Linked DNA regions of Cricetulus griseus. The protein of the gene in region 2 interacts with the protein of the main gene of each other region in a biochemical or structural test. Links are inferred from orthologs where the notes say so. Each region holds a gene or a part of one and is shown on either strand. Other genes may lie near its edges. The genes, in order: Notch1, Ep300, Sirt2, Junb, Rela, Fen1 and Stat2.

Region 1 (4,745 bases), on a different chromosome or scaffold from region 2:
TCTGGCCCAGCTGTCCGAGTGTTCTGTAGCTAAGGATATGCATCTCTCCTGTCTGTGTGCTTGGTCTCCATCTATAAAGAGAGCCAACAAATGCCTGGTGTCAGGTGGTCTGATGTGCAACCATACTCATTGCTGGACAGAGTGGAAGAGACACAGGCACCCATGGGCAGACAGGATGGCAGGGAGATGCTGCCGACTAGTGCACTGCTCCCCAGATTCCGGAAGGCTGAGACCTTCTTTGTAACCAAGCCAGGCTGGGTGGCCTATCTTGGCAAGGCTGGGATATAGCTGCCACACACCCCAGCAGCCGGAGGTCTTCAGAGACCATCTCAGAAGAGGCACTTGCAGAGTTTTAAGTCTGTGAACTCTGCACAGCTAGCCAGCCCTTCCTTCTATGGAAACTGCTCTCTGGGGCTGCAGATCTGTTATATAAATATTTCTGCAGCACTGGGCGCCTTTTCTTCTGGGTACTGGCCCCAGGCTGTTACACACACACCCACTTGATGCCAGCTTCTGAAAGGAGCAGGAGAGGGGGCTGGACAATGGGTCTGCATTGGCCCTCTTGAGTGCCCTCTAGAAACAGGTGTGTCAAGGGCAATGGGTAGGGCTGCAGGAGAAATGAGCACACTTCTGTATCCCTGGGCAAGGACTGCCTTCCAAATTCTGAATTCCCAAATTCCTTTGACTTTCCTGTCTCAGTATTCTCCTGCCAGGTTCCAGCAAGCATTTAAGGCCCCTTTATGCATTCCCCTGCTCTGAGAGCCTCCTTGGATAATATAAGCTGGGGCTGTATCCTGTGTTGCACTCACCATCCTGTTTAGGGATGGAGAGGTGCTGTCCATTCCAGATTCCATTGAACTTTGATTGCACAGGGACAAGGAAGGCATCTTGGACACCCAGAGCTAATCAGCTTGTCACAGGATGTCCAAGTCTAGCACCAAGGTGGAGAGATAACTGGTCAAAGAAAAGCACGTGAGAGAGGCTGTGCTGGTGTTAGCAGTTATTGTACTGGGATTCTGTACTTTCCCGGGTCACCTTAAATGGGCAGAGCCAGGAACCAGTGAAAAGAGTGACAATGGAGCGTCTAGACTCCTTCTGGGGAGCGAGAGCGCAATTTGTTCAGAAAGGCACTGGCCCTTTGGGGAGTTCCCTTGGGGAGCCCCGAGCTCCGTTCTGTAGAGGCTGCAGGCGCGAAGACATTATCCTTTAAGGTCAAGCGTTCCGGAAGTCGCGGCTAGGGGTGCCTGGCCTCAATCATCCAGATGCCTAAAGCCGAGACCAAAGGCTCCCAAAAGTGGGACCCCAGGGCCAGGGATGCACCCAACGTAGTCAGGGAGCAACTTCTAAAATCCTGCTCCGGGAGTTCCCCAAACTTGGCTTCAGCTGCTCCTAGCCCTGGGCCCAGACCTAGCTCCAGGATGGACCCGATTCTCGTGGCAGCTTCGCCTTTCCTACTCAGCCCAAATCTCTTCGGCTATTGAAATGCAAATCCTGGCCAAAAGGTCCCGAGGGAGGCGACACACAAAGCCTGATCCTTCCGCATCCCCAGCTCAAACTTTTGGTCTCTGTAAACTTTCGAACAAGAAGTAGTCCCTAAGTGCCTGTTCTCTACACCCCTGCATGTTTCCTTGTCTTGCAAACCACAGGGTCCTGGCTTGGGACGCTCTCTCTAGCCCGAGAAGGCGCAGAGCCCACCAGGGCGCTGGGAGGGACAGGGCCAACGAAGGGGCTTTGAGTGCTCAAAAACCGGGGGCGGAGCGCGGTGGGATGGGCGGGGCAGGGGCGGGCCCCCACGGGGGCGGAGCGCACGGCCGCCCTGAGCCTCACTAGTGCCTCGGCCGCGGGAGGGAGCGCAGGGGCGTGGGGCGCAGGGCGCGGGCGCTAGGCGCGGGTGCGAGCGCAGTGAAGGAACGACCCGGGGTGCCTCGTAGCGCTGGGGAGACCCTGAGAGCCCAGCGCCGCCCACCTGCCAGGAAGGAGAGGGCAGCAGTAGGTGGACGCCCGCGGGACCGCCGGTGGTGAGCGTAAACGTCCGATCCCCGCCGGCCACCGCAAGAGGCCGCCGCCCGGGCAGCGGGCAGCGGGCGAGCAGGCATGCCGCGGCTTCTGGCGCCCTTGCTCTGCCTAACGCTGCTGCCCGCGCTCGCCGCAAGAGGTAGGCGCCTGCGAGCCCGCAACTTCGCGCGCCCTTCGGAAACTTCGGCTGCGCCTTGCGCGCGCCCTGGGTGGATGGGAGTGAGGGCACCAGCTACCAAAGTTGGGAGAAGGAGCCGGCGGACGGGACTTGGGGGCCTGGCGTCCTCGCGTGTGAGGGAGATCCTTCTCCTCAGCCCCCCTTCCGGGTGGATTCGCTTTACCCAGAACGCCCGAAAATGTTGGAAGCTCGGTGTGGAGCTTGGGACTTCGGGGCCCCGGGAGGCTCAACCCTGGCTCGCACTTGGGCAGCCGCGCCTGGGGCTCGCCGCGGGGGCGGACAGGCTGCCTGCGCCTGCTACTTTTCGATTTGAATCGAATCGGTTTTGGTTTCCTGTTGCTTCTTGGGACTATTATTTTCTTTCTTCTTCGCCTCTGGTCTGTGCTTGGGCGGATGTTGGGGCTCTGTGTTCGCCTTGCTTAGCGCGAGGTGGGGGCGATGTGCCCTGGACTCCCAGTGCCCAGTTTCGGGATCGCTGTCCCCTAGCGGTACTCAAACTTTCAAAGAGGGGCTATGGGCAGGCGGCTTGCTGCTTAGGGTTGGGGTGGGACTCACTCACTTTGGAAGTTTGAGACTCCTGCTCAGGCAGAGACTGGAACCTGCGGGGAGGGCCGGGGGGCCGGGGGGCCGGGGGGCCGGGGGACCGCCTATTTCCTTGCAGGATTCACAGAAAGGGGGACTCCTGAGGAGTCTCGTAGTGACCAACTGCACCCGTCTCCCAGTAATTGGAGGGGAGAAGTGCCTGCCCTTCTCTTAAAAGTGGGTTTTATGTGACACTCCAGCTCGGCCCTCACACCAGGGCTTAATTTCTGGAGCTCCTTAAGATGGGGGTGGGAGGGGCTTGATTAAGAGCCCTTTCCTGAGAAGAGGGTAGAATTCCTTCCAAGTGCGGGCTCTAAGACCCCCTCCCTGGGTGCGGCGGGGGCTGCCCCTGGAGATGCCTGCGAACAGGTATTGGGTGTCGGAGGAGGCGGGGCAGGTCTCCGGGTGCGGCCCCGCTGCCCCAGGAGGCGGCCCTGGCGCGACAATGGGCCGCTCTGATTCCCGGGCCGGCGCTTTGTTGGAGGGCGGGGTGGCGGGCTCCGCAGCTGTCGCTTTTTCCCACGATCGGGGGAGCTGAGTGTGGCCGCCCCCTCCCTCCTGCAGCCCCCTCGTATCTTGTGTTTGAACTGAGGCAAGGGTGGGAGACTGATCGGGGGCTTTGCTGGGTTTCTTAATCCACACCCACTTTTGGCTGTGTATGTAAGAAGTTTAGAATGTCCCAAGTCATTCAGTTCTTTCTGTTGCGGTCCACTTCTAGTGAGTGGGGATGTACACCTGCCTCCTACCCAGCTTATTATCCCTCTTCCACCCATTTCTGACTGCAACAGTGCGAGCAGAACATTGATCCCCGAAGGGCTGCCCATTGTCACCACCCCCGCCTGGCGACTTCCAGTAACTCTAGTACACAAGCACCAAGGCAGTAGTCTTCATCCACCATCAGGACCACAAGGAGTCAGCTGCTCAGAACCCAGACTGACCTCTCTTCTGACCCTTCCCTAGGCTTGAGATGCTCCCAGCCAAGTGGGACCTGCCTGAATGGAGGGAGGTGCGAAGTGGCCAACGGCACCGAAGCCTGTGTGTGAGTACCGCCCCCGAGGGGACCTGTTGCTTTTGTCAGAGCAGAGCCCCTGCCTTCTGGGGACAGAACACTGGGCCATTGTCTTCAGAAGACAGCCCAGAGGCTGAGTGCAGTCACGTGCTGACTTTTATTGGACAAAGTCTGGCAATTACTTAATCACCAGCAATTATGCCTCGTGTGGAGCTACTCTGGCCCCTGGAGGTTGGCACACTCCTCCATGGGCCCCCTCAGGCTCCTGGGAATCCATGGTACCCTAATTCTTATTTAAAATGCTTGAGAAACCGTTGTCTTTGATGGGCAGTCTGGAGCACTTACTGAGAGTTTGAGCCCCACCCCCTGACACCTGGGAGCCCTCTTCTGGGCAGGAGACCAATAAGCAGGAAGTTGCCCCTTTTTTGTTGTTTTGTTTGTTTGTTTCTAGTTTTTGCTTTCTTGGGACAGGGTCTCACTATGTGACTCTGGCAGCCCTGGCATTCACTATGCAGAGACCTTTGACTCAAGAGATCTGCCTGTCTCTGCCTTCCAAGTGGGAATGCCACCACTAGCTGGTGGGAAGTGTCTGTTTTAAGATGAGACCCACCCCTCCTTTCTCCTTGGGTTCAAGGTGAGGTTGGGAGAGTTGGAACGGTGCTTGTTGGCACTGCTGCCTGGGTGGTGGGTGTGGGTAAGCACTGGAGTCTGGTTTCTCTCTTGGCAGCTGCAGCACCACCTCCCGACTCTATGCCAGAGGTCCTCAGCCTCAGGTCCTCAGCTGTGAAATGGGCGTGACTTGGGGGGGTGGGAAGGTCTGTTCCTTGCTGGGAAATCCTTTTGGGAAGGATCCCTGCCTGGCTGCCCACAAAGACCAGTCAGCCAGGAGAAGTCTCCACTGGGGCTGGAGCTAGGGCTAGGGCTAGGGCTAGTGCCCTTCAACTTGAGCTCCTCCCTGAT
Region 2 (4,062 bases):
CTTATCAAAGTAACCATCCAAAAGATGTTAGTGTAAGAGAGGTGTTCAACACAACTGAAAATGTCCTCTATGAGCTGCTGTGGTAGGCGTGACTACACTACCAGCACTAGGCAGGATGAAGAACGAAGGTCTTTGAGGTAAGGCTGGGATACAGAGAGATCTCAAGGACAGTCTAAGCTACATAGTAAGTCCCTGTTGAGAAATAAGTAGAACCATACAATGAAATCTAAACCAATCACCAAAGGCAGGGCTCTATTAATGACACCAATATTTAACAATTTAGAATTGAGACCTGATCTACCCCACCCCTCTCTCCTTGGGTTTTTCAAGACAGGGTTTCTCTGTAGAGCTTTGGAGCCTAGCACTCGCTCTGTAGACCAGGCTCGAACTCACAGAGATCCACATGTGCCTCCGGGAGTGCTGGGACTAAAGGTTCTAGCCACCACCACCTGACCATAATTTTTATTTTTATTTTTTTAAAAGATTTTATTTAACAACATTATGCTTCCATGTATATCTGCACACCAGAAGAGGGCACCAGATCTCATAGAGGATGGCACCATGTGGTTGCTGGGAATTGAACTCAGGACCTTTGGAAAAGCAGTCGGTGCTCTTAACCTTTGAGCCATCTCTCCAGCCCCTAACCAAAATTTTTAAGTTACATTTTTATTTATCTTTTGTGCATTTGTGTACAAATGCCCATATGCCAAGGCATTTTATGGAGGACAAAGGACAATTTATAGGACTTATCACTTATCTTTCCAGCACGGCTGGTGTATGTGTATACGTGTATGTGTGTGCACATACATGCATGAGCCTGTGTTTGTAAACCAAGGATCAACCTTGGGTGGGTATTTTTGTTCAGAGGTCAATGACCTTTTTTTAAAAAAAAAAACAAAAAAAACCCAAAAAAACCAAAACAAAACATTTTTTGATACTTCATCTTATGTGTTAGTATGATGTGTTAGTATTATTACCTAAAATTATGTAAAATGTGTGTGTGTGCTGGAGCCTGAGGAAGATTGAAGAGTGTGTTTGGTCCCTGGAACTAGAGTTACAGGTGGTTATAAGCTGCCATATGGCTGCTGGTCAGTGAATTTGGATCCTCTATAAGAACAGTTTTAAATACTGTTTTGTTTATAATTTTTTTTATTTCTTGTGCATTGGTGTTTGGTCTCCATGTATGTCTGTGTGATGGTGTCGTATACTATGGCAGCTGTCAGCTGCCATGTGGGTGCGTGAAATTAAACCTGAGTCATCTCTTCAGTCTCGGTTCAGCACTCTTGACCCTCTCCACTCTCTGTTATCCTCTGCTAGAACCCTATGTCCTTCCAAGATCTCAACTTACTAGGCAGCAAGCTCCAGTGATCCCCCTGCCTCTAACTTTTCCAGTGGTTGGATTATAGGTGTGCCAAAATGCCCAAGGTCTCACTGTCTACCTCAGCCTTGTCTGGAATTTGCTATGTAGTACACAAGGCTGTCCTTGAATTCAGAGATTCATTTCCCTCTGCCTTCTAAGCATTGGGATATATATACAAGTGCTAGGAAACAAATCCAGATGTTTATTGTTTATGGGGCAAGCATTTTACCAAATGAATGATCTTCCCAGCCTTCACTTACTCTTCTTCTTTGACTGTCCAGGAGCTGGGGAGGACTGCGTAGCAGAGGTACTTGGCTGGTCTTCCTCCTCTTTTGTTTCAGGTTTTAACTCAGTGCCTCTGTCCTCTGTTTCTGTAGGTTCCACTTTAACATCTTCAGCTTTAGCCTAAAATATAAGACAGGAATTTTAAAAAATTCAAAGACTTACACCTGGGAACAAGACCATTATCACCTTATTTACGCTCCATTATGGACATACATGAATTTCCTTTTATAGCAGAACCTAATTGCTCTAGTCTCACCTCCTGAGTATCTTCAGGTTGAGCATCTGCTAGTTCAGGTTGATCCACCTCCATTTTAACCTCCATTTTTACTTCCTGTGAAGGTTGCTTCTCGGGAATGGTCTGAGAATTCACTTCTGTGCTACTAGTAGATGGAGGGTTTGATACCTGGCCTTCAATGCTTACAGTTGGCTGAGAAAGCTGGAGAGAAAAAGGTAAAGCATACACATACACAAAAGCTTGCCAATCATGGAATCAGAATTTAAATTTAAATTACACAAGGCTATTTATATTTGGGGCACTCTCACTGAACCCATTTTATTATTATGTTTTCTCTCACAAAGATCATTTTAAGAATGGATGATATGGGACTTCCCAATGCTAGCTGGCTAGCTTTACTTGAAACAGTTACCAGCTTTTTTGTTATGTGTTTAGGGGTGGATGTTCTAAAGTTGACTATATCAGAGAGGCTCAGAATATTAAAAAAATGACATCAGGGACTATGTAATAGCTCATTCATAAAGGCACCTGCTATCAAGTCTGACAACCGAGTTTGATCCCTGGTATTTAAATGGCAGAAGAGAACTAACTCCTATAGTTTGTTCTCTCTCTCTCTCTCTCTCTCTCTCTCTCTCTCTCTCTCTCTCTCTCTCTCGTGTGTGTGTGTGTGTGTGTGTGTGTGTGTGTGTGTGTGTGTGTAAAATCGATGTACCCCACATAGGTCTTTACTTTCATTTTTCAGCACTGCAACTTAAGCTGTTTCACCCCTGCCCCCCTTCTTTCCTTGCTTTGTTTTTTGAGACAGGGTTTCTTTGTGTAATAACTCTGGCTGCCATGGAACTTGCTTTCTAGACCATGCTGGCCCCAAACTCAGAGATCTCACTGCCTCTGCCTCAAAATATCTTTAAACAAGTACATGTGTATGTGTTACACTAAGCATTGATAAAACTCTTATAGCTTTCAGGCCTCAGATAATCATTTGAAACAGAATGGTCAGTGAAAATTAACCAAAATCTTCTAGCTTTCTCTACCAAAGGAAGCAAAAACAGGCAACAAACACCCAAGTCTATGAATAAAACAAGCAAAGATGAAACAAAAGTGAAAGAAAAAATGGTATAGAAACATCACTGGAGCTTAACTGGTCCTATGGACACTCCAAGACACATCTGCTTACGTACTGGAGTTGAAGGCTGAGGTGGCAACAGTGGTGCTGTTGGGGTAGGAACAGGAGCTGCAGTGCTCTGCTGTGATCGAGGCTGTTGCTGGGACTGGTCAGCAGGAGCAGCAGGAATTGAAGGTTGTACTTGGGAAGGAAGATGTGTTGGTGGTGTTGGTGTCTGTCTAGATGGGGGGTGTAGAGCTTGGGGCTGTGGTCCAGGTGGTATGGCAGGAGGTGTAGGAACAGGAGCTGGAATTGCTGTTGCTGGTGGTTGCTGAGTCCCTATGCTTGGGGGAGTATGATGAGGAGTAGGGGTACGACTAGGAACAGGAGAAGGCGAATTCTGATGAGCTTGTTGAGGCAGAGTGGAACAGTGAATATGGCTCCCTTGAGACCCTGGAGGCATTATAGGAGAGTTCACTGGACAGGAAGAACTGGACATTTGTGCCTGGTAAAATGAAAAAACATACAGTATTAACAAAAGCAGGTCATGTAGTATTTAGAGCACACAGTAGTTATTAATAAATAACAGTAGCAAACTTCTTTATTTCTGAGATGAGGGTCTCACTACATAGACCTGGCTAGCCTTGATCTAACAGATATCCATCCACCTGTCTCTGTCTCCAGGAACAAAATTAAGTGTGCAGCCCTGGACACAATCATAGTTTTCAAAGAAAAAAGGAGGGTACCTTTAAAAATCATACAGGGTTAGAAATAAACTATTTTTGAACATCATTGGATGCCACACTAGTATCAGTAGGAAATAGTATTTGCCATTTAGGCCTGGAAACATGAGCACAATCCCCAGACTCTATGTAAGGGTAGAAAGAGAGAACAGCCCACATATACTGTTGTCCTGTATGTGCATATATGCACACTAAGAAATAAATTTAAATAGTAAAAACATACTTGAGAAACAGGTGCTTGACCACTGGATGGTGTCAAAGGCATGTTTGTTACATTCATTCCTTGAGATGGAAACTGAGTTTGAGAGAGGAACTGGTTCTGACTGGAAGTCTGCTG
Region 3 (3,453 bases), on a different chromosome or scaffold from region 2:
CCTGGGAGGAGGGCTGATAAGTGGGCTAGCCCTTTCCAGAAGGTTCCACTTCTGTTAGGGTGTTGTGTGCAAGCCAGATAATTAAAAGTAATATAAATCAATTAGCCGCTGACATGAGGCTTCAGTGTCAGGGGGGCAGGATAGGCACATGTCTGGGTGGAGAGGGGAAGGCAGGTGCTCCTCCCCTCCAGGACCCTTGGGAGGAGATCCAGACATGGGTGGTGCTGGCCAGGGTGGCATGGAGGCTGCTGTGGGTGCAGAAGCCTGATGCTGGGTCCCTGGGGGCCCTACCTGTTCCGAGGGGAGTCTGCAAAGCAGGAAGCGAAAGTGTTCTCTAGAGAGGAAGCCGACATGCAAGGGAAGAGGCGGGGCTGGGGGCGTCTGCTATCACCTTCCTCTCCCTTTCCGGGGATCAGCTAAGGGCTCCCCTTTTGGAGGAGTGGACCTCTGGCAGGCCAAAAGCCAAGGTGAAAAGTCACCAGACCACCGTCCTCAGGGGCCATCCTCTTGCCCCTGCCCCCTCCACTATCCTAGGATCCTGGAGCCACAGACTGTTGGTCTGGTGTCTTTACGGACCCCTCCCCTCCCCACAGCTGCTGCTGGTACCCGCACAGACCACACAGCTCATGGTTAGTTGTTTTGTTTTGTTTTTTAATGTGTTTCCAATAAACAAGGTCTCCTGCTCATCCCCCACTGGCTGGCAAGTGGGACCCTAGGAAAGGGAGGCCAGCACCCACTTTGTCTGTTGGAGGCCGAGAGTTGGGAGGCCTTCAGGCTCAGGGATCCCACAGGCCCCACCCCCTGGGTGAAGTTACATTTCACTAGAGAAGTTCAGCCCCCATTGGGGCAGGTTAATTAGATTTAGCCACAGCAACCCCCTGAGAGCACTCTGGCACAGTTAGGAGTTTTGGGGTAACCTGATCTCTGGAAGTAGTTAGGAGTTAGCCCTGGGTGGTTAGAGGCTGTGGGCTGCACAGGCCTCAGCCCTCAGGTATATTAGAACTTTCTGGGATTGAGTTGGGGACCCTGGTTTCAAGAAAGCGGTTAAGAGAATGAAGGATCTACTGAGCCCCACACCAGCTCCATGTTAGAGGGACCAGTGCTGGCTGGGCTCCACTGTCCTGCTTGGGAGGTAGTGGTCACTGGTGCTCCTCTCTCTCTTTGGTCCTGGCCGCCTCCTTGGCTGGAGGGGGGGACTTCTTAGGGGAGGTGGCAGTGCTGGGGTTAGGGGCCTGTGACCCTGACTGGGCATCTATGCTGGCATGCTCCCGCCGGACAAGGTCTTCCAGCTCCTTCTGCAGGGGGCAAAGGTCACAGAAGTCAGAGGTTACCATACATCCTCATGGGGCTGGGCTCAGGGTGGGCTGGGGTGGCCCAGTTCCTCACCTTCCATCCGAGGAGGTCAGCCAGGGCCAGGCAGCCTTGGTCACAGTCACCAAGCCAGGCCACATCTCTGCATTGTGAGCAGCAGTTAGAGAATGGGCTGAGGCCTGACCAGCCTTCTGTCTTCTCTCCCACCTCAGCCTGCTCTCCCCAAGCTCTCTCCACCACCAGAGCCCAGGCCTTACCTGTAAGCTTTCTTGGAGTCAAAATCCATGCCACCGCCCAAGCCCATCATCATGCCCAGGAAGGGATCTGTCTGTGGGGAGAGGACAGCTAAGAGCATGGCCCTGCAGCCACCAGACCTGGCTAATATTTATTATTGAGACAGGGTTCTCTGTGTAGCCCTGACTGTCCTGGAATTAGCTCTTGTAGAACAGGCTGGCCTCAAACTCACAGAGATCCACCTGCCTCTGCCTCCAAGTGCTGGGATTAAAGGTGTGGGCCACCACCGTCCCGGCTTATTTTTATTTCTTAAGTGTATGTAGTTGTGTGTATGTCTCTGTATGTGTGCCCTTTGTATGTAGGTGCTCAAAGAGGATAGAAGAGGGCATCAGGTTCCCAGGAGCTGGAGTTAGAGGTAGTTGTGACTACCTGACATGGGTGTTGGGAACTGCACTCAGGTTTCTGGAAGAACAGAAAGTGTTCTTAACCACTGAGCCATCTTTCCTGTCCAAAACCATTGTTATTTATTTATTTTTTCTGGCAGTGCAGAGGCTTGAACCCAGGTCTCTGTGTATACTAGGCAAACACTCTGCCACTGAGCTGTATCCCCAGCTCAAGCATATTCCTTTTGAGACAATGTTTCTCAATTGTCCTGGAACTTGCAATTTGTGAGACTGGCTGTCCAGTGAGCCCCAGGGATCCACCAATCTGTCTCTCCAGTATGGGATTGCAAAAACATGCCACCATGCCTTCTTGTGTGATTTCATGTGTTCTTTTGTCCCCTGTGTTTCCTGTCAACTGAGATTTGTCATATACATTTAATCAGAATCTGTTTTGGAGGGTGTTATCATTTGATTTGAGCTTTTTTTCCCAGAGCCTTCCTTCCATCCACCAAACACGTCACCTCTGGTCACCTCTCTTTTTGTATTGTCAGCAGTTGCTGGCTGAGGTGGGACATGGTGATATCAAATTTCTAAACATTTGCTGGTTGGTGGTGGCACACACCTTTAATCCCAGCACTCGGGAGGCAGAGGCAGATGGATCTCTGTGCTTGAGGCCAGCCTAGACTACAGAGCGAGTGCCCAACACAGAGAAACTCTGTCTTGAAAGAACAAAACAAAGCCAGTGGTGGTGGCGCACACCTTTAATCCCAGCACTCGGGAGGCAGAGGCAGATGGATCTCTGAGTCCGAGGCCATCCTGGTCTCCAGAGTGAGTTCCAGGACAGCCAGGGCTACACAGGGAAACCCTGTCTTGAAAAAAAACAAAACAAAACAGAAAAACAAACAATAACAAAAAGCTCCCCCCAACTAAATAACATAGCCAGCTGCTAGAATCTGGAAGTCAGAGGCAGGAAGACTAGGAGTTCAAGGCCATCCGTCATTACATGGTGAGTTTGAGAGGACAGGCTTCATGAGAGCCAGAGCTCAACCCTGTGTCCCACCACAAACCAGGCAGACATCGCTTAGCAAATCAGGAGGATGTGTGGGCTCCATACAAACAATTGGCCACTGCATAGGAGGGAGGGACTTGAGGCTCTCTAGCTCTTGATATGTGACATGTACTAGAATGGTAATGCCGAGGCCATCCTGGTCTCCAGAGTGAGTTCCAGGACAGCCAGGGCTACACAGAGAAACCCTGTCTTGAAAAAACAAAACAGAAAAACAAACTATAACAAAAAGCTGTGGCACATGAAGTGACTGTGTCTCCTGGCACCTGTGTCACAGGCAGGCAACACCCCTTCCTGGTGTATATTCTCTCCAGCCCAGGACTAAGGCCTCCCCTGGAGGGGCGAGTTAGGCCTTGGCAGTCTCGGTTGCCAATCAGCCGTACATTGGTCTCCTGGGTCTCAGGAAGCACTTGGGTCTTAGCAGGCTCAAGGTATGGTTCTGTCATTGCTCAAAGGGAT
Region 4 (4,215 bases), on a different chromosome or scaffold from region 2:
GGCACATACCCAGGGGAGGAGGCAGCCCTGTACCAGCCTGCCCAGGCGCCGAGGATGCCTGAAGGCATCATCCCGCCCCCTCCGCTCCCTGACGGGCCGGGGGCAAAGTCCGACCCAGGCCCGCGGGCAGGCGGGAACCTGCCAGGCTGGGTCCGACCCAGCCGGGCGGGACAGGACTCAGCCCCAGAGCTGTTCCGCCGGGCTGGGCCAGGCCGCCGGGAGGCCCTCGGGGATGGCAGTCGAGGCTGGTCCGGACTAGCCGTCTGGGGGGCCCGGGCGCGCCCTGGGACCTGGCTTGCCACCCTGAGTTCCTGGCTCCTAGTTCTCCGCCCCAAGACTGTACTGGTCCCACCTCTTCCTGTGCCCTAATATGGATGCTGGGGAGAAATTGAGGGGGGTTGCCCCGCCCCGAATCCAATTCGCGGACTCCGGCCTGTTGCCTTGGTGATGAGGCCCGGTTCTCAGGCTGCATCTCCCCCCCCCAGGGTCAATGGAACAGTCCTCGGGCTGCCAGGCTTAGTAGTCGTCGGAGGCTGCAGGCTGAACCATTACTAGATGGGTGAGAGCAGAGAGTGACTCGAGGCGTTTGTAGCTGGGCTGTGACTTCCTCGGGGGTCGCTTGCCCCGGTTCCTCTTCCCAGGAGCAGAATTTGGCAGGGCCCAGGGCAGGGTGCACCGTCCTGTAGGCTCAGAATGACGAGACAGGGCCGGGCTCTTTTCCCCTCGGGGCTGTTGCCACACTTCCTGCCTCGGCTCTCTTTCCCTAGTCTGTTTCTAAGGAAGGGAGTGAGGTTGGGCGACCGCGCCCCAGCTATCCTGCCCCGTCGGCTCTCCAAGAGCTGACAGGGTATCGGGTGAGCCCAGAGTGACTAAGGGAGGACTTTGGGCTTGGAGTACAGGGTATGCAGGTGCCTAAGGACCACCCACGAGGTACAGCCCCATTCGTACAGGTCCCTTGTCTCTGGGATCATCCTCCCCAGCAGATCTCAAAGCTCGGAAGCTGTGCCCTGACCTTTCTAACTCTACATCCGAATTCTTCAGGTGGCCACAGTGACATGTTCCCATCCTCCACCTCTTGTATTACCTCAGTGCACCCAGGACCCTTTCTCACCTTTGCATATCTACGTCGCCCTCCCCGCATTTCCTTCTCATTTCCGCCTATAGGAGAACCCTCAGACTCATCAACGGCCTCTAGAACCCTACTGTTCTTGCACAACAGGCGCCCCTTCCTCCAACCTGTGACAATTCCAGTCTTTCAAGCCCTTTGTATCTGGGACCTCCAGTCAATCCCCGGGTCAAATGTTAACAGATCCCTCCCGATCCTCCCTTTCCTGCTTGCTTGGGGTCTTCTAGCATATTGTCAGTTCTCAGCTACAGGCACTCTGGGTCTCTCGAGACTTCTCCGGCTTATCCCGCGGCGCCCCCTTCCCTGCTTGCTGTGCCAAGCTCTCATAGTCACCGAGGTGTACTCCCGCAGTCCTAACCCGTGTGCCTCAGCCCCTCCACATCCCTTTGCTTCGGCGTCTCCATCGCTGCAGCCCCTCCCCCTGCAGCCGCGCAGAGCCACCCGGCTCGTGGCCGCTGTTTACAAGGACACGCGCTTCCTGACAGTGACGCGAGCCGCCTCCTCCCCTTCCCCACGCTCTAGGAGGGGGCCGCGGGGGCCCGGTTCCCGCGTTGGCCAATCAGAGCGCACTTCCGCAGCTGACAAACTCGGTATAAAAGCTTGGGGCTGGGGCAGCGCGGTGGGGACCTTGAGGGTGGCCGGGCCGGTTTTGGATCCTGCAGGCAGCGGGGAACTGAAGGAAGCGACGCCGAGAAAGCGGGCGCACCACAGAGGCAGAGACGAGGTCTGGAAGCCCGGCAACGCTTTTACGCACAGCTGCCAACCGGCCGCCGCCGGCGGTCTCCAGTTCCCGAGGACGCGCGACCGGACACCGGGTCCCGCCGCAGCCGAGGACAGCTCGCCGCTCGCAGCAGCGAGGCCTGGGGCGGCCCTTCAGGGGGACCTTTCCCAGACCGCCCGGATGTGCACGAAAATGGAACAGCCTTTCTATCACGACGACTCATACGCAGCGGCGGGATACGGTCGGACCCCTGGCAGCCTGTCTCTCCACGACTACAAACTCCTGAAACCCACCTTGGCACTCAACCTGACGGATCCCTACCGGGGTCTCAAGGGCCCGGGAGCGCGCGGCCCGGGCCCAGAGGGCAGCGGGGCAGCAGGCAGCTACTTTTCGGGTCAGGGATCAGACACAGGCGCGTCTCTGAAGCTCGCCTCCACGGAACTGGAGCGTTTGATCGTCCCCAACAGCAACGGCGTGATCACGACGACGCCCACGCCTCCGGGACAGTACTTTTACCCCCGTGGGGGTGGCAGCAGTGGAGGCACAGGGGGCGGCGTCACCGAGGAGCAGGAGGGCTTCGCGGACGGCTTTGTCAAAGCCCTGGACGACCTGCACAAGATGAACCACGTGACGCCCCCCAACGTGTCCCTGGGCGCCAGCGGGGGTCCCCAGGCCGGGCCAGGGGGCGTCTACGCAGGTCCAGAGCCGCCCCCCGTCTATACCAACCTCAGCAGTTACTCCCCAGCCTCCGCACCCTCTGGGGGCGCCGGGGCCGCCGTCGGGACTGGGAGCTCGTACCCGACGGCCACCATCAGCTACCTCCCACACGCACCACCCTTTGCGGGCGGCCACCCGGCACAGCTGGGCTTGGGTCGCGGCGCCTCCGCCTTTAAGGAGGAACCGCAGACCGTACCAGAGGCACGCAGCCGCGACGCCACCCCGCCGGTGTCCCCTATCAACATGGAAGACCAGGAGCGCATCAAAGTGGAGCGAAAGCGGCTGCGGAACAGGCTGGCGGCCACCAAATGCCGGAAGCGGAAGCTGGAGCGCATCGCGCGCCTGGAGGACAAGGTGAAGACGCTCAAGGCTGAGAATGCGGGGCTGTCGAGTACTGCCGGCCTTCTCCGGGAGCAAGTGGCCCAGCTCAAGCAGAAGGTCATGACCCACGTCAGCAACGGCTGCCAGCTGCTGCTGGGGGTCAAAGGACACGCCTTCTGAGCGCCTCCCTCGCTCGCCCCGCACGGACACCCCGGCCGGGAAGGCTGGACGCCCGCCCCCCCCTGGGGTGAGGGGGGCGGGCGATGGGCACCGGCCCGGAGGTCTGGAGCGCCGCGCACACACTGGACTCTGGCTCGCTCGCCTGCGCCCAGTCCTTCCACCTCGACGTTTACATGGCCCCCCCTTCCAGCGTATTTTGTATGTTTTTTTTTTTTTTCTGGGAAGAGACCGGATTCATATTGAATATAATATATTTGTGTATTTAACAGGGAGGGAGAAGGGGGCTACGCTATCGCGGCGGAGCTGGCCCCGCCGCCTGGTACTCAGCCTGCCGGGACACTAGGGAGGGACCTCCGCCCCCTGCCCTCCCCCTCTGCACAGGACTGTGGAGAAGAAACACGCACTTCGTGTCTAGAGTCTATTTTAAGATGTGTTTGTGTGTGTGTGTGTGTTTGACTTTTTATTGAATCTATTTAAGTAAAAAAAATTGTCTTTATTAATTTCTGTGGTCTTTTTTTTTCTTCCAAGCCGGGCGGGTGGAGGGAGAAGAACGGGATGCCCCCAGTCGTCCGCTTTCGTAGCTCCCTCCTTTCAGGTGACTTAAGGTCCAGTGCAAGCACGCAGACCTCTCACGCCGCGCCCCGGCACCCGACGCGGGGCAGGCGGGCCACAGCCGGGAAGAAGCCGCCCGGGACCAAACGCGGAATGTGTAAGCAGCCCCGCCCAGCCCAGCGCGTCGGGGCTTTCCCCGCTGACGCGCCGGAAGCGATGCCCATATATGGGCCTATTCTGCTCAGTGACGCCAGCACGGTCTCCGGGCAGATTCCGGGAATCCCCTCCCCCAGCTCTGCCCGGCAGGGCCGCGGCGCCGGGAAGGGGCCGGGATTTTCCCGGGCGGGCGGCTCTCGGGGCGCGGAAAGCCCCAGGCCTGGGTCCAGGGTGCCCGCGGCGGGAGACTTACGCTCTCCTGGGCCCTGGGAGCCACCCGAGCGTCTCTCAACAGGCTGGCGCCGGAGACCCGCCGCGCCCACGCCCCCTCCATGGGACCTGACCCTGGCGGAGCCCAACTGCGGCCTCGGCGGGGCGGGCGGCGGAGTGCAGACGCCGCCGTCGGGGCAACTCCCGCCAGGAAGGGCGGCGCCCGCCTGCC
Region 5 (4,062 bases), on a different chromosome or scaffold from region 2:
TATGTCTATGCACCATGTGCATGCCTGGTGCCCTCGGAAGCCACGGGCCTGGAGTTACATATGGTTGTGGGCTTCCATTTAGGTGCTGAAAATTAAACTTGGGTCCACTGGAAAAGCAGTACTCTTAACCACTGAACCATCTCTCCAGCTCCTGTCTCATTTGTTTTGTTATGTATAGCACTAATCCTTGAGCAAAATGAAGCTGGGTTATAGGATTAGTGACTGTGGTGACCTGGCATGTCTCAGCCTTAAGCCATGAGGTTCGGCCTGAGTGGGGATGTGTGGACCTGGAAACTCCTAGCAACCCAGCCTCGATAAAGACCAAACACAGGCATCTTGTCATCTTTAGAGAGCTCTCAGTTCCATGTTGTAAAACTGGAGTCTCTTCTCTATTTACCATCTTTTTGGCTGTTTCTTAACCATGCTTCCATGGCCACGAGGAGACCACTGCTGTCCTTCTGTTCTCCTCTCTGGTCGGATGGCTCCTGTCTGTCCTCACTTGTACCTTACACCTAGCACCTAGGCCCAGATGCAGGCCTATTCAGATGCTTAGGCCCATAGAGATGCAAACTAGGAGGCATTCTATACTAAGGCTATTGTAAACAATAGCAGACCTGCTAGCATTAGCAATACAATAGTGGGCCGGAGCTTTCCGTGAAACCAGAGGCTGGACCTCAAAACATTCTATAATGGAACTATTTTGGTCCCCCAAAAGTGATAAGAGACACAAGGTGGCACAAAGTCCACAAAGCTAAGTGACCTTGGTTTAGGTGTGCCACTGCCTCTACTGCTAGTGAATTCTGTTAAATCATTCCCCTAAAAAGGTGATGATACGCCAGGCATTGGTGGCACAGGCCTTTAATCCCAGCACTCAGGAGGCAGAGGCAGGCGGATCTCTGTGAGGCCAGCCTGGTCTTCAGAGCAGAAACACTGTCTCAAAAAACCAAAAAAAAAAAAAAAAAAAAAAACAAAAACAAAAACAAAAAAGGCGATGAGAGGTTAAAAGGACCACTCATAGGAAGGGTAGATACAGTAGACAGAGCTGAATAAGTTGGATGTCAGAGTTAGGGAAGAAATAGATTATGACTATAATTATATGTTGCTTGACAATGGGGGCACAGCCTGGCAGTGGTGGTGGTGGCGGTGGCGCACGCCTCTAATCCCAGCACTCAGGAGGCAGAGGCAGGTGGATCTCTGAGTTCGAGACCAGCCTAGTCTACAAGTGCTAGTTCCAGGACAGCCTCCAAAGCCACAGAGAAACCCTGTCTCAAACACCCCCCTCAAAAAAAAAAAACAATGGGGACACATCTTAAGACATGTTGCTAGGCAAATTTGTCATTGGATGAATATCCATTTTATTATTACCTCTGTGTGTGTGTCTGTGTGTGTGTGTTCATGTAGGTGTATGAATGTGCATGCATGTGTGTACAGATGTGTGTATGAGTATGTCAAAGCCAAGGCTCAATGCCTGCTTATATGTGTGAGCACCTTGTACATGCCCAGTGCCTGCAGAGTTCAGAATAGTGTCAGATCCCGTGGAACTAGACAGGGTGCTGGGAATGAAGCCTGGGTTCTCTGGAAGAACAGCAAGTGCTCTTAACCACTGAGCCATCTTTCCAGCCCCATCCACCTTAATTATTTGAGATACGATCTCACTATATAGCCCTGGCTGGTCTGGAACTTGTAAGGTAGACCAGGCTGGCCTTGAACTCACAGAGATCTGCCTGTCTTTGCCTCCCAAGTGCTGGGATTAAAGGTGTGCACTGCCATGTCCAGCCCACTTCATTTTTTGAGACAGTACCTCTCACTGAATCTGGAGCAAGGCTGGCTGGCCAAATAGCTCTAGAGGTCCGTCTATTTCCACACCATCTGCACGCTAGCTACACACGTTTGCTGGAGTACCCAGCTTATTATATGAGCATCTTTTTCATCTTTTTTGTTTGGTTTGTTTTGTTTTTCAAGACAGTGTTTCTCTGTGTAGCTTTGGAGCCTATCCTGGCACTCACTTTGTAGACCAGGCTGGCCTAGAACTCACAGAGATCCATCTGCTAGCCTCTGCCTCCCAGGTGCTGGTTTTACCTTTTTTTTTATTTTTCTTGAAATTTAAAGATTTATTTTATGAATATGAGTGCTATATCTGCACATAGGACCTATGCCAGAAGAGGGCACCAGATCCAACTATAGATGATTGTGAGCAACCATGTGTGTGGGTGCTGGGAATTGAACTCAGGACCTCTGGAAGAGCAAAGAGTGCCCTTAACCTCTGAGACACCTCTCCAGCCCTGGTTTTCTTTCTCTCTCTCTCTCTCTCTCTCTCTCTCTCTCTCTCTCTCTCTCTCTTTGTTTATATGAGCATCTCAAAGATTACTTACACAAACTAAGACACCTATGTCATTAGACAGTGTAGTTCCTCACCCCCCTCCCCCAGGTCAGAGTTTCTCTGTGTAGCCTTGGCTATTCTGGAGCTAGCTCTATAGACCAGGCTGGGCTCGAACTCATAGATTCATTTCCCTCTGCCTTCTGAGAGCTGGGATTAAGGGTGAGCCACCACTGCCCAGCTAGATAGCGCAGTGTTATATGACCACCATGGCATATGTGGTCTTTGACAGAAATACTATGTGCAATGAACTACAGTATGTATAAATCCTATGTGCTTGTCCCAGACATCCTGGTCTTTTTCCCAGCTGGGGTACAGAAGCCTTGGTACTGCTCTCCCTAGCATCACACCTGTGTCTGGCAGGTACTGGAACTCCATGGGCTCACTGAGCTCCCGATCAGAAGGCCGCCGAAGCTGCATGGAGACACGCACAGGAGCCTGCAGGCTGGGGTCAGCGTATGGAGGAGTCCGGAACACAATAGCCACTTGCCGGTGCACATCAGCTTGAGAAAAGGAGCCTCGTGCTTCCCAGCCTGGTCCAGTGAAATACACCTCGATGTCTTCTGCAGGAGACAGAGTAGTAAGGGTTAGTATCTGAATTCCAATGGACCTTGGTCCCCAACTCCTGATGCTTTTCCCCTGAGACGTCACCCTGTTTCTCCTGAAGCCACTGAGGTCCCTGGCACTCATCACCCTCTCAGCCTCACCCCGCCCCTCGTGGCACACATAGCCCAGTGTGTACCTTTCTGCACTTTGTCACACAGCAAGAAGATCTCATCCCCACCAAGGCAGCTCCCGGAGTTCCGGTTTACTCGGCAGATCTTGAGCTCAGCAGTGTTGGGTGCACCTGAGGATGTGACATGGATGGAAACCCTGAGCCACCACAGGTCTCCAGGGCACCCGACAGGAGATGTAACAGCGATGCCTGGCAAGTCCCATGTCAAGGTCTTCCTTCCACAGCTTGCTGACAACACTTCTGCAGACTAATCCCATCTGCTCTTCACCTCAACCAATTCAAAAACACCTCCTGCTGTGTGTGTGGAGCATGGCTCTAGAAAAGGCAGCAGAGCAACAAAGAGCCCAACGTATTCCTGTCCTCACAGACCTTACAGCCCAAAGGAAACAATCTGACACCTTGTCTCCCTCTGCCTGATCAAACACATTTTCAGCTTTTGGTTCATCTCTACCCTTGGCAATGAGTCTTTCCCTCCTCACTCCCAGTTAATCCTGGTTTCCGGTCCTTGGGGCTCCAAAGGCCTTTTATTTTCAATTGCCCTGCTGCTTACTAATCCATCAGTGTCAGCCCAGGTCATCTGAGAGCTTCCTGTGAGCTGCTACTGTGGAATTATCACTGCCTAGCATTATCTGGTTCCTGGGAGTTTGCTTCCTAAAGTCATGAGCACAGTTCCTGGCAGACCAGCATCTCTACACAAGATATGGAAAACAGCCACTTCCCATCAGGCTGCTGGGCATCCTGGAAGCTTCCAATTGAGGGCAGCTCTGGGTCCTTTCTGCCCTGTCCCCTGCCAGCATAACTGGAGGACTAAAGGGAACCAGAGCACTCTTCACAGGTCACACCCACTCCAGCCCCCTTTCTCTTCCAGACCCTCCCTTTCCCCTTACTAGAGGCGGCCACTCACGGTTATCAAAAATAGGATGAGAGAGGACAGGAGTCAGGCGGAGGG
Region 6 (3,767 bases), on a different chromosome or scaffold from region 2:
GCAGCTGGGCTCACCTGTGTGGAGGATTTGAGGAAGCCCAACACAATCCAGTGACAGCCCACACAAAAGGATGTGGAGGGAAGCTTCTGTTTTTTGCCTGTACACCCTCAGTGTCCCTGAGGCATTCCTTCTCTAGTATTAGAACCTGCTTCTTTGTGAGCCTTCATGTAGACTGAAGACCAGCTGAAACATCCCTTGTGGACTCAACTACTAAATTCTTGGCCTTTTTACCAGACACCCATTGTTAGACTAACTGGACACAGCCTGTAAGCTCCTCTAATGAACCCCTTTCAATATATAGAACTCATTCTATCTACTTGGTTCCTCAAGAGAAACCTAATGCACCAGTACTCTAAAACTTGCAGTCATCCTGAGAACCTGAAATCTCAATAGGAGCAAGGTTTCTAAATGGCATCTGTTCACCAAGTGGCAAAACAAACTGCCTGGATGTTATGACAAAGTTTATCTAAATTACAAGACTGTCCAAATGGACTCCTTTACCTCACAGACTAGGTGGAACAAGAGAAATCCAGTCTAGGCATTCAAACTCCTGAAGTGCAAAGGGCTGGTGCCAACCACAGCTGCTGTGCCCACATTACATGGTGTATGGCGCCACTTTGTGGTCACTCTTATTAAACAAACTACTTGTTAACCAGGGCAATCCCAGCCTGTCATCTAATTTTAGTGGCAAAAGATCATTATATTCTACAGGAACCGGAAGCACTAAGGGTGTTTTCAAATATCCTCAAAGAACACCACATTCTGGTCACTTTTGTACTTTTATTGATTTTTTTTTCTCTTCGCATCTTTTAAAACAGAAACAGCACAGGAACAACAGCTTCTCTCAAAACCTCAATTCAATTGATTGCCTCAGAAAGGCCATTGGAACAGTGTCTCTTGGGGCTACAGGTCAGTGGTATGCTTGCTTGCTTTGCCCTGGGTTCAATTCCCAGCACTGGAGAGGGGAATGGGACAAAAACAAAACTACAATTCAAAACCTAAAACACTGCTTTTTCACTGCTCTGAAGTTACTGTAGACTCACCAGAAACCTAAACTTGCTGTGTCCACAAGACAGCCAGTCAGGAATTAGAGCCATTGTCAGCCAACCTCCTCTGCTCGCCCCTTTTCTTTGCAGGTCTTCCATCAGCAAAGCCTGGGCTGATGGCTGTCTTTCAGGTTAGAGAAATCAGAAAGAGCAGTCAAGGTCTACTGTCAACTCCCATTCACCAGCTGACCAGCCAGGAAATTATCTCCCCACACTCCCACCCCAAGCCATCTTTATCTCCTCCTCCTTTTATAATGTGTTGCTTTCAGTTTCACACAACAATGGATGCAGTGTCCATTAACCTGCCTGAGAAGTGGTTTGACATCATTCCTGAGCTAAAAATGAGGAAAAGCAAAGCTGTGGCCTTCCTGCCACAAGACCAAGTATGAAAGGCAAGGCTCTGAAGGGCAGTTCTGGGACGGAGCAGGCTCTTCCACAAGAGGAGTGTTCTAGCTGAGGGCACAAAGCAAACATTCTGGGGTCAGGGGACAATGGAGGGGGAGGACACGTTTTATTTCCCCCTTTTGAACTTCCCAGCTCCCCCAGTCTTTGCTTTCTTCTTAGCAGGCCCCTTGGGTTCTGGCTCCTTACGCTTAGCCGAGGAGAGTGAGCCAGTCACTTTGAAGAAATCATCTAGGCGGCCCTGGGTGCTGCCCTGGCGGCTCTTACTCAGCCGCTTGACCCCACTACGAATTCTCTCCTCAGAAAACTGCTTTTCACCACACATGAATTTGACCAACTCTTCTTCATTTGGCTCGCTCCACTTCAGCTCCACAGACTCTGGGTCCAGCACCTCAGGCTCCAGGAAGAGCTGCTGAGCTTCCTTGTGGAGCCAGTTTTCTGGAACAGGGTACTTGTTGGGATCCAGCCGCCGCACGATCTCCTCGATGCTCTTATGCTTCTGGATGAGGTCCACAGCCCGCTTGGGCCCGATGCCCCGGATACTCTCACAGTAGTCACTACCCAGCAGGATGCAGAGATCTACAAACTGCTCCTGGTTCAGACCCAGCTCCTGCAGGACGCGGCTCAGGTGGAACTCTTGGATGGGCAGCTTCTTGGCCTCACTGGCAGTCAGATGTCGCATTAGTACAGGGCTGCCAAAAGTGAGGCAGTCCATGTCCTCGGTGGCTGCGGCATAAACTTTGCCAGCCTTCACCAGGGCAGCGCAGCTGGCCTCTGCCTCACTGGGTGCGTCAAGGTACGGGATGCCCATGAGACTCAGCAGGTGTTTGCACTCATCATTGTGTTGCTTGGTGACCTTCACCAGCCGCTTTGTGAACTTCTCCACCTCCTCCTCTACCCCCGCCTCCTGAGCCTGCTGCAGCTGCTTTTCAGCTTCAGCTCGCCTCTCACTGCGTTTGGCCAGCTCGCCTGACTTCAGCTGTGGTGGCTTGCCGTCAAAGACATACACAGGCTTGATGCCATTCTCCATCATGCGGATGGTGCGGTAGAACATGCCCATCAGGTGGCTGGTGGTCTCCCCCTCCTCATTCTGCAGCACATCCCCACCCTGGCGAACAGCAATCAGGAACTGGTAGATGCTCATGGAGGCATCAATGGCCACCTTGCGACCGAAGTAGCTCTTGATGTCATTCTCTCGGATGGCACTGGGAGCCACATCGGCAATTAGTTTGGCAAGGCCTTGAATTCCCATGGTAACACAGGAGCGATGGCTAAAACAAAGACAAGAAAAACGTGGGTCATGGAGGGCAAAAGGAACAAAGGCTCTAACTGGCAGCAATCGCCAGTTTAACTTCATGTTTAATCAAATTTAACATGAAAACAACAGGACTCCAAGTCGGCAAAGCAGAAGAAGATGCAAAGGTGAACACATACATCCATCATTCTCAAGACATCTACAGCGCACCCAATTAACGAGCAGGCCTCCTAAGAACAACACAACGGTACAATTTGTCACACAAAGAATGACTTCAACTTTCAACTGCATCAGGACCATAGAAAACAAGAATGCTTGGCTTGGCTTGAAGGAGCCTGAGACCATAAAGGCAGAAGTGAGCCCTCGAGAGCCTGGAAATACCAGCTACGCAAAGTTGGCTATGTATGACTTACTGTGCTCTACAGTTATCTAACTGATGTAGCAGCCCTGAAGGACACGCTTCTGAATGAGGGTCAGGTGACCATCTCACACACTGCTATCCCTCCCCACTTCAGCACCTAAGAGTTTGTTTTTAGCAGGATGCTGGAGGAGGTTTAAATCCTTTGTACGTCCTCCCCACCACTAATTCTGAAACATGAACCTCATGATGCCACCACAGGTCTTGAATTAAGGGCTGGCAAGCTGAAATCACACAGCCCAATACTGTAATTCTGTCGTTCAAGACTTCAAGGATCAAATTGCTCCTCGGACAGTGTTTCCAAAATTACACTCACAACTTTTGCCCCTTCCAACTGAAATAGAATTTTCCTTCACTGAATATTTTTATTTAAATGGACTTTAAAGAAAATAAAATAAAAGAAGGGGGGAGAAGGACTAGTTGTGTTATGGCAAATGCCTTTGCTGGAAAGTGGGGTGGGGGTGTTGAGAGAGGGTTTCTTTGTGGACTGAGTTCTGTAAACCAGGCTGACCTTGAACTCAGAGATCTACCTGCCTCTACCTCCCACGTGCTGGGATTAAAGACGTGCACCTGGCTTTTAACAATTTTTTTGTTTTGAGACAAGATTTCTCTGTGTAACCGCCTTGGCTGCCCTAGAACACGCTCT
Region 7 (4,732 bases), on a different chromosome or scaffold from region 2:
TCTAGACCAGCCTGGTCTACAAGAGCTAGTTCCAAGACAGCCTCCAAAGCCACAGAGAAACCCTGTCTTGGAAAAAAAAATGTTTCAATTATACAATTAAAAGATACAGAAAAGGGGCTGGAGATTTGGCTCAGTTTTTTGTTTGTTTGTTTGTTTTTATTTTTTTGGGTTTTTCTTTTTTTTTTTCCGAGACAGGGTTTCTCTGTGGCTTTGGAGCCTGCCCTGGAACTAGCTCTTTAGACCAGGCTGGTCTCGAACTCACAGAGATCTGCCTGCCTCTGCCTCCCGAGTGCTGGGATTAAAGGCGTGGGCCACCAACGCCCGTCTTGGCTCAGTGTTTAAGAGCACTTGTTGCTCTTTTAGAGGAGGAGTTTTTGATTCTTAACACCCACGTGGCGCTAAATTCCATTCCTAGGGGATCGATTGGATGGATGCCCTCTTTAGACTTCTGAGAATATCAGGCACTTAGGTGGTATGCCTACATACATATACACAAAACTCAAAAACATAAAAAGAATCTTTAAAAGACACAGAAAATAGCCGGGCTGTGGTGGTGTACACCTTTAGTCCCAGCACTTGGGAGGCAGAGACTGGCAGATTTCTCTGAGTTAGAGGCCAGCCTGGTCTACAGAGTGAGTGCCAGGACAGCTAGGGCTGTTACACAGAGAAACCCTGTCTTGAAAAAAAAAAAAAAAAAAAAAAAAAAAAAACAAGATACAGATTACATTGCTTCTATTCTCGGTTTTGGTTTCTGTCCTTTCTCTCTAAAGATAGTTCTTATTACAGTTTACTTTAGTTTTTCCAGGGAATACTATTAAATAGTTGTCATATGTAGTACTTTTTGTTTACTAGTAACTTTCAAGACCTGAGCCTGGTGGCACATGCCTGTAATACCAGCACTTAGCAGTTGGAGGCAGGAGCATTAAGGGCAGGCTCAGCTACATAGTGAATTTAGGTCAGGCAGGGCTGCTGTGGATCATTTGTTGTTGTTGTTTTGTTTTAAAGGTTTTATTTATTTATTATGTCTTCTGCCTTCATGCCAGCAGAGGGCACCAGATCTCATTCAAGGTGGTTGTGAGCCACCATGTGGTTGCTGGGAATTGAACTCAGGACCTCTTGGAAGAACAGTCAGTGCTCTTGACCACTGAGCCATCTCTCCAGCCTGTGGATCAATCAGTTTTTGTACACTGTGAATATGTATTACCCTCAATGGTTAATAAAGAGCTGACTGGCCTATAGCTGGGCAGGAGAGCCACACTAGGAGAATGCTGGAAAGAAGGGAAGAGTCTTAGGAGTCGCCAGCCAGATGCAGAGGAAACAGGACGTGTACAAAATGAGGTAACAACACATGAACTGCACGGCAGTAAGTAAAGGAATATAAATGGGTTAATTTAAAACATAAGAGCTTGTGGAGTTTGACTTTCAGGATGTTGTGAGTCTCCCAGTTTGGGTGCTCAGAACTGAACCCCAGTCCTCTGCAAGAGCAATGAGCTCTCTTAGCCACTTAGCTGTCTCTCCACCCACCAAGAGCCAATTTTTCATTTTAGCTTTCTAATAATAATCCTTGACCGCCCCTTGCTGGAGATCAAACAGAGGACCTCTCTTGTGCTCTGTGAATGCTCTAGCTGAACTACATAACTACAACATCAGACAGGTATTTGACTCTTTTATTTATTTATTTATTTATTTATTTATTTATTCCAGACAGGGTTTCTCTGTGTAGTTCTGGCTGTTCTGGAACTCACTCTGTAGCCAGGCTGGCCTTGAACTCAGAGATCCACTTGTCTGGGTGTTAAAGGTGTCAAGAGTGCTGGGGTCAAAGGTGTGCACCACCACCACCACGCCTGTATTGCTTTTAAGAAACAAAAACATTGCTGTGCGGTGGTTGCACAAGTCTTTAATCCCAGCACTTGGGAGGCAGAGGCAGGTGGATCTCTATGAGTTTGAGACCAGCCTGGTCTAAAAGAGCTAGTTCCAGGACAGGCTCCAGAGCTACACAGAGAAACCAACCCTGCTTCAAAAAACAAACAAACAAACATCATTTTAAAGACAAGATCCCAGTTCTTCAGGAATTAAAGGACTAGTATCCAAGCAAGGGAACAAGTAAATTCTGAGATTTAAATAAGAAACCAAACATAAGAGAAAAAAAAAGTTGCTGGCTGTGGTGGTGCACACCTTGAATCCCAGCACTGGGGAAGCAGAGGCCCAGCCCGGTCTGCACAGCAAGTTCCAGGACAGGCAGGGCTAAACCCTGCCTCAAAACAAACAAGTCTTCCTAAGTGGACTGTACTGCGGTTATGGGAGCTGCAAAGTGCTTTCTCTAGCTTCACCCTCTCAATTTTACACTAAATAAAATTTTCTGAAATAAACTAGACTGTGTGTGTAACCTTAAGCAAGCAGTTTCATCTCCCAGGACTTTACAGTTTATATTTGTATATATATTTGATATATATATTTGATTGTATGTATATATGCATATATACATACATAACAAATAAGGATGTCCGTGTTTTCATTTATTTATTTATTTTGGTAAGGATAAAATATTATGCAAAGGGGCTGGGAACACAGCTCAGCGGGTGAGAGCTCTGGCTGCTGTTCCAGACGACCCCACTGGGTTCGATTCCCAGCTCCCACATGGCAATTTATGACCAGCATTCCAGTCCCAGATCTGACGACCTCTTCTGACCAACACAAGCACTGCACGGATGTGGCACACAGACAAAGCATGCTTACAAATTAAATAACAAACAGATGATAGACAGATAACGCTTTGGCTTATGACAAGGGTCAAATGCTGCATGCCAGGCTTCAGGGTTTGCGGAGGAGTTTTGGAAGAAGGTCGACAGGGCTGAAAAGTAAAAGCAAAGCGAGGGTGTGACATCCCGGACAGGGGCATCCCGGGGGCAGTGGCCCTTCCCGAGATCGAACTCACGCCTCCCTGCTCCGCACACGCTCTCCGGGCCTGTACCTTCTGAGGCTCCGGTGCCGCTCCTCCCAGTGGCTCCCGCGGCAACTTCCACTCCTCCGGGCGGCTCAAGAACCCCACCCCGCCCCTGACTTCGGCGGACCCAGACCGTGATCACCGGGCCCTACGGATTCGCCGTTCCGGGCTCTGGCTGAGGCTCGCCCACGCCCTTCCCACGTCACGCCCTCATTGGCGGAGTCCTGGCCCCGCCCACCACCGGGCTGGGCGAGCTGCTGGAAACCACACCGCCGAGCTCCGTGTTTGGCGAAGAGGCTCCCAGAGGGGCGGAACCCAACTAATGTCATACCCAAGAATTCAAGCAGCTGACTTTCCCGAACCTGCACTCCCAGGAAAAGGAAACGAAACCAGAGCGTGCAGAGGCACCAAGGACTCCGCAGAAGGGGTGGGACTTGCATTTCGATACTTTAGGTAGGGAGGGAAGAGCCGAGGCACATATTTTTGAGGACATAATGATAAATACCATAGGATCGTGTTATCAGTTTTTAATTTCCATAACCACTTGTTCAGGTGAAAACTCACTACTCCCTCATTAGAAACATAAAAAACTGAGTTTCAAGAAATGACTGGCAAGTGATGACAATACCCCAAACCCATCCATCCATCTATACTACTCCTTCTCTGTCAGAATTTTCCATTTATTTGTTGTTTGTTACTACCTCTTGTATGCCCAGATACTGTAGTCCTGTTCCAAGGCTTGGTCCCAGTAGGAAAATGTACTTTCAACTTCTGACACCAAAGTAGTCATGGTTGTTTCTTCGAAGTCACGGTCTTCCTGCACGGTCTCCGGCAGAGAGAGGCTCACCTCTTTCTCGTCATAATAATATCGGATCAGCTGCTGAACCCCAGCCTTCAATGCTGGCTTAAGAGTAGCACTTATCACCACACCAGCCGGCCCCCCTGACACACCCACCATGGCCATCAAAAGGTCATAACCCAGATCTAAGGCTCCCTCTTTGCCTCGCTCCTTGGCCTTGTCGGAGCAGTTCTGAATGGCATAGTACAATGCTGTGCCTAGATTGTAGTAGGTCCCCACTGCCGGCAGCAGCCCAACCACACTGTGCACACTCTGCTCCCGCTCATTGTCACAGGCTGCGTTAGAAAGAGAGCGTGGGACCCTCTTTGGACCTGGCTGCTCCCAGGCTAAGAGCTGCAGAGCAGAAGATAAGGCGTCTACCGACACTTGCTGGTCCTCAAGTCCACCTTTCTGGAGCTCTTGGAGATGGTGGATGAGGGCCTGTGTAGCCTCCACACCTCCCAGTCGGTAAAGCTGCCGCTGCAGAGCCCAGACATCAGCCTGGCAGCCAGCTTCCTCCAGAGCGTTCCTCAGAGCCAGGCCTACCAGGAACTTGGGGAGAGGGGGCATGTGAGTGAAGCCAGGCAGGGACTTTGGGAGCAGGACCTGGCAGGACAAGGGGTCTGAGGAGGGCAACTGGTATCCCAACGCCAAGGGAGGGAGCATCGCAGAGGGACTTGTTGGCTCTCTGTGTGAAACGGCATCCACAGGACACAGCAGGAGGCAGCAGAGCAGCTGAACTGCCATCATCAGGAGTCGCAGGCTGTGCATGTCTGGAGCAGAGCACCCTGGAAAAAGGAAAACCCCAAAACATGCAAACCATTTCACTGAAGGCTATAGTCTTAAAGGAGGCCCAAGATTCAGGGGACACCACCACCACCTACCTCCAACCTTTTTTTTTTTTTTTTTTTTTTTTTTAGTAAAGGAGTAGGATATGGGAAATGCAATTC

What was found.
Region 1: the proteins of Ep300 (region 2) and Notch1 form a complex in vitro, tested with the Homo sapiens proteins (2 studies listed by BioGRID, with this or other methods). The link is inferred for Cricetulus griseus from reciprocal best matches to the Homo sapiens genes EP300 and NOTCH1.
Region 3: of the proteins of Ep300 (region 2) and Sirt2, one has a biochemical effect on the other in vitro, tested with the Homo sapiens proteins (3 studies listed by BioGRID). The link is inferred for Cricetulus griseus from reciprocal best matches to the Homo sapiens genes EP300 and SIRT2.
Region 4: the proteins of Ep300 (region 2) and Junb form a complex in vitro, tested with the Homo sapiens proteins (2 studies listed by BioGRID, with this or other methods). The link is inferred for Cricetulus griseus from reciprocal best matches to the Homo sapiens genes EP300 and JUNB.
Region 5: the proteins of Ep300 (region 2) and Rela form a complex in vitro, tested with the Homo sapiens proteins (6 studies listed by BioGRID, with this or other methods). The link is inferred for Cricetulus griseus from reciprocal best matches to the Homo sapiens genes EP300 and RELA.
Region 6: of the proteins of Ep300 (region 2) and Fen1, one has a biochemical effect on the other in vitro, tested with the Homo sapiens proteins (2 studies listed by BioGRID, with this or other methods). The link is inferred for Cricetulus griseus from reciprocal best matches to the Homo sapiens genes EP300 and FEN1.
Region 7: the proteins of Ep300 (region 2) and Stat2 form a complex in vitro, tested with the Homo sapiens proteins (3 studies listed by BioGRID). The link is inferred for Cricetulus griseus from reciprocal best matches to the Homo sapiens genes EP300 and STAT2.

What each region holds. Positions count from the first base shown.
Region 1 is NC_048599.1:137,892,563-137,897,307, reverse strand, and holds the start of Notch1 (neurogenic locus notch homolog protein 1), read left to right. Parts: upstream 1-1,842; 5' UTR 1,843-2,094; coding exon 2,095-2,155; intron 2,156-3,736; coding exon 3,737-3,815; intron 3,816-4,745. UniProt on the Homo sapiens protein: Functions as a receptor for membrane-bound ligands Jagged-1 (JAG1), Jagged-2 (JAG2) and Delta-1 (DLL1) to regulate cell-fate determination.
Region 2 is NC_048595.1:378,772,535-378,776,596, reverse strand, and holds part of Ep300 (histone acetyltransferase p300), read right to left. Parts: coding exon 3,949-4,062; intron 3,488-3,948; coding exon 3,059-3,487; intron 2,082-3,058; coding exon 1,902-2,081; intron 1,766-1,901; coding exon 1,621-1,765; intron 1-1,620. UniProt on the Homo sapiens protein: Functions as a histone acetyltransferase and regulates transcription via chromatin remodeling. Acetylates all four core histones in nucleosomes. Histone acetylation gives an epigenetic tag for transcriptional activation.
Region 3 is NC_048602.1:7,082,178-7,085,630, forward strand, and holds the end of Sirt2 (NAD-dependent protein deacetylase sirtuin-2), read right to left. Parts: intron 1,640-3,453; coding exon 1,569-1,639; intron 1,454-1,568; coding exon 1,387-1,453; intron 1,296-1,386; coding exon 1,140-1,295; 3' UTR 631-1,139; downstream 1-630. UniProt on the Homo sapiens protein: NAD-dependent protein deacetylase, which deacetylates internal lysines on histone and alpha-tubulin as well as many other proteins such as key transcription factors.
Region 4 is NC_048596.1:159,385,808-159,390,022, forward strand, and holds Junb (transcription factor jun-B), read left to right. Parts: upstream 1-1,728; 5' UTR 1,729-2,027; coding exon 2,028-3,065; 3' UTR 3,066-3,565; downstream 3,566-4,215. UniProt on the Homo sapiens protein: Transcription factor involved in regulating gene activity following the primary growth factor response. Binds to the DNA sequence 5'-TGA[GC]TCA-3'.
Region 5 is NC_048596.1:53,704,126-53,708,187, forward strand, and holds part of Rela (transcription factor p65), read right to left. Parts: coding exon 4,018-4,062; intron 3,225-4,017; coding exon 3,120-3,224; intron 2,941-3,119; coding exon 2,728-2,940; intron 1-2,727. UniProt on the Homo sapiens protein: NF-kappa-B is a pleiotropic transcription factor present in almost all cell types and is the endpoint of a series of signal transduction events that are initiated by a vast array of stimuli related to many biological processes such as inflammation, immunity, differentiation, cell growth, tumorigenesis and apoptosis.
Region 6 is NC_048596.1:50,251,954-50,255,720, reverse strand, and holds the end of Fen1 (flap endonuclease 1), read right to left. Parts: intron 2,720-3,767; 5' UTR 2,701-2,719; coding exon 1,558-2,700; 3' UTR 761-1,557; downstream 1-760. UniProt on the Homo sapiens protein: Structure-specific nuclease with 5'-flap endonuclease and 5'-3' exonuclease activities involved in DNA replication and repair.
Region 7 is NW_023276806.1:129,600,857-129,605,588, forward strand, and holds the start of Stat2 (signal transducer and activator of transcription 2), read right to left. Parts: upstream 3,138-4,732; 5' UTR 2,972-3,137; intron 1-2,971. Other genes in the region: Apof (apolipoprotein F), read right to left, coding at 3,642-4,553. UniProt on the Homo sapiens protein: Signal transducer and activator of transcription that mediates signaling by type I interferons (IFN-alpha and IFN-beta).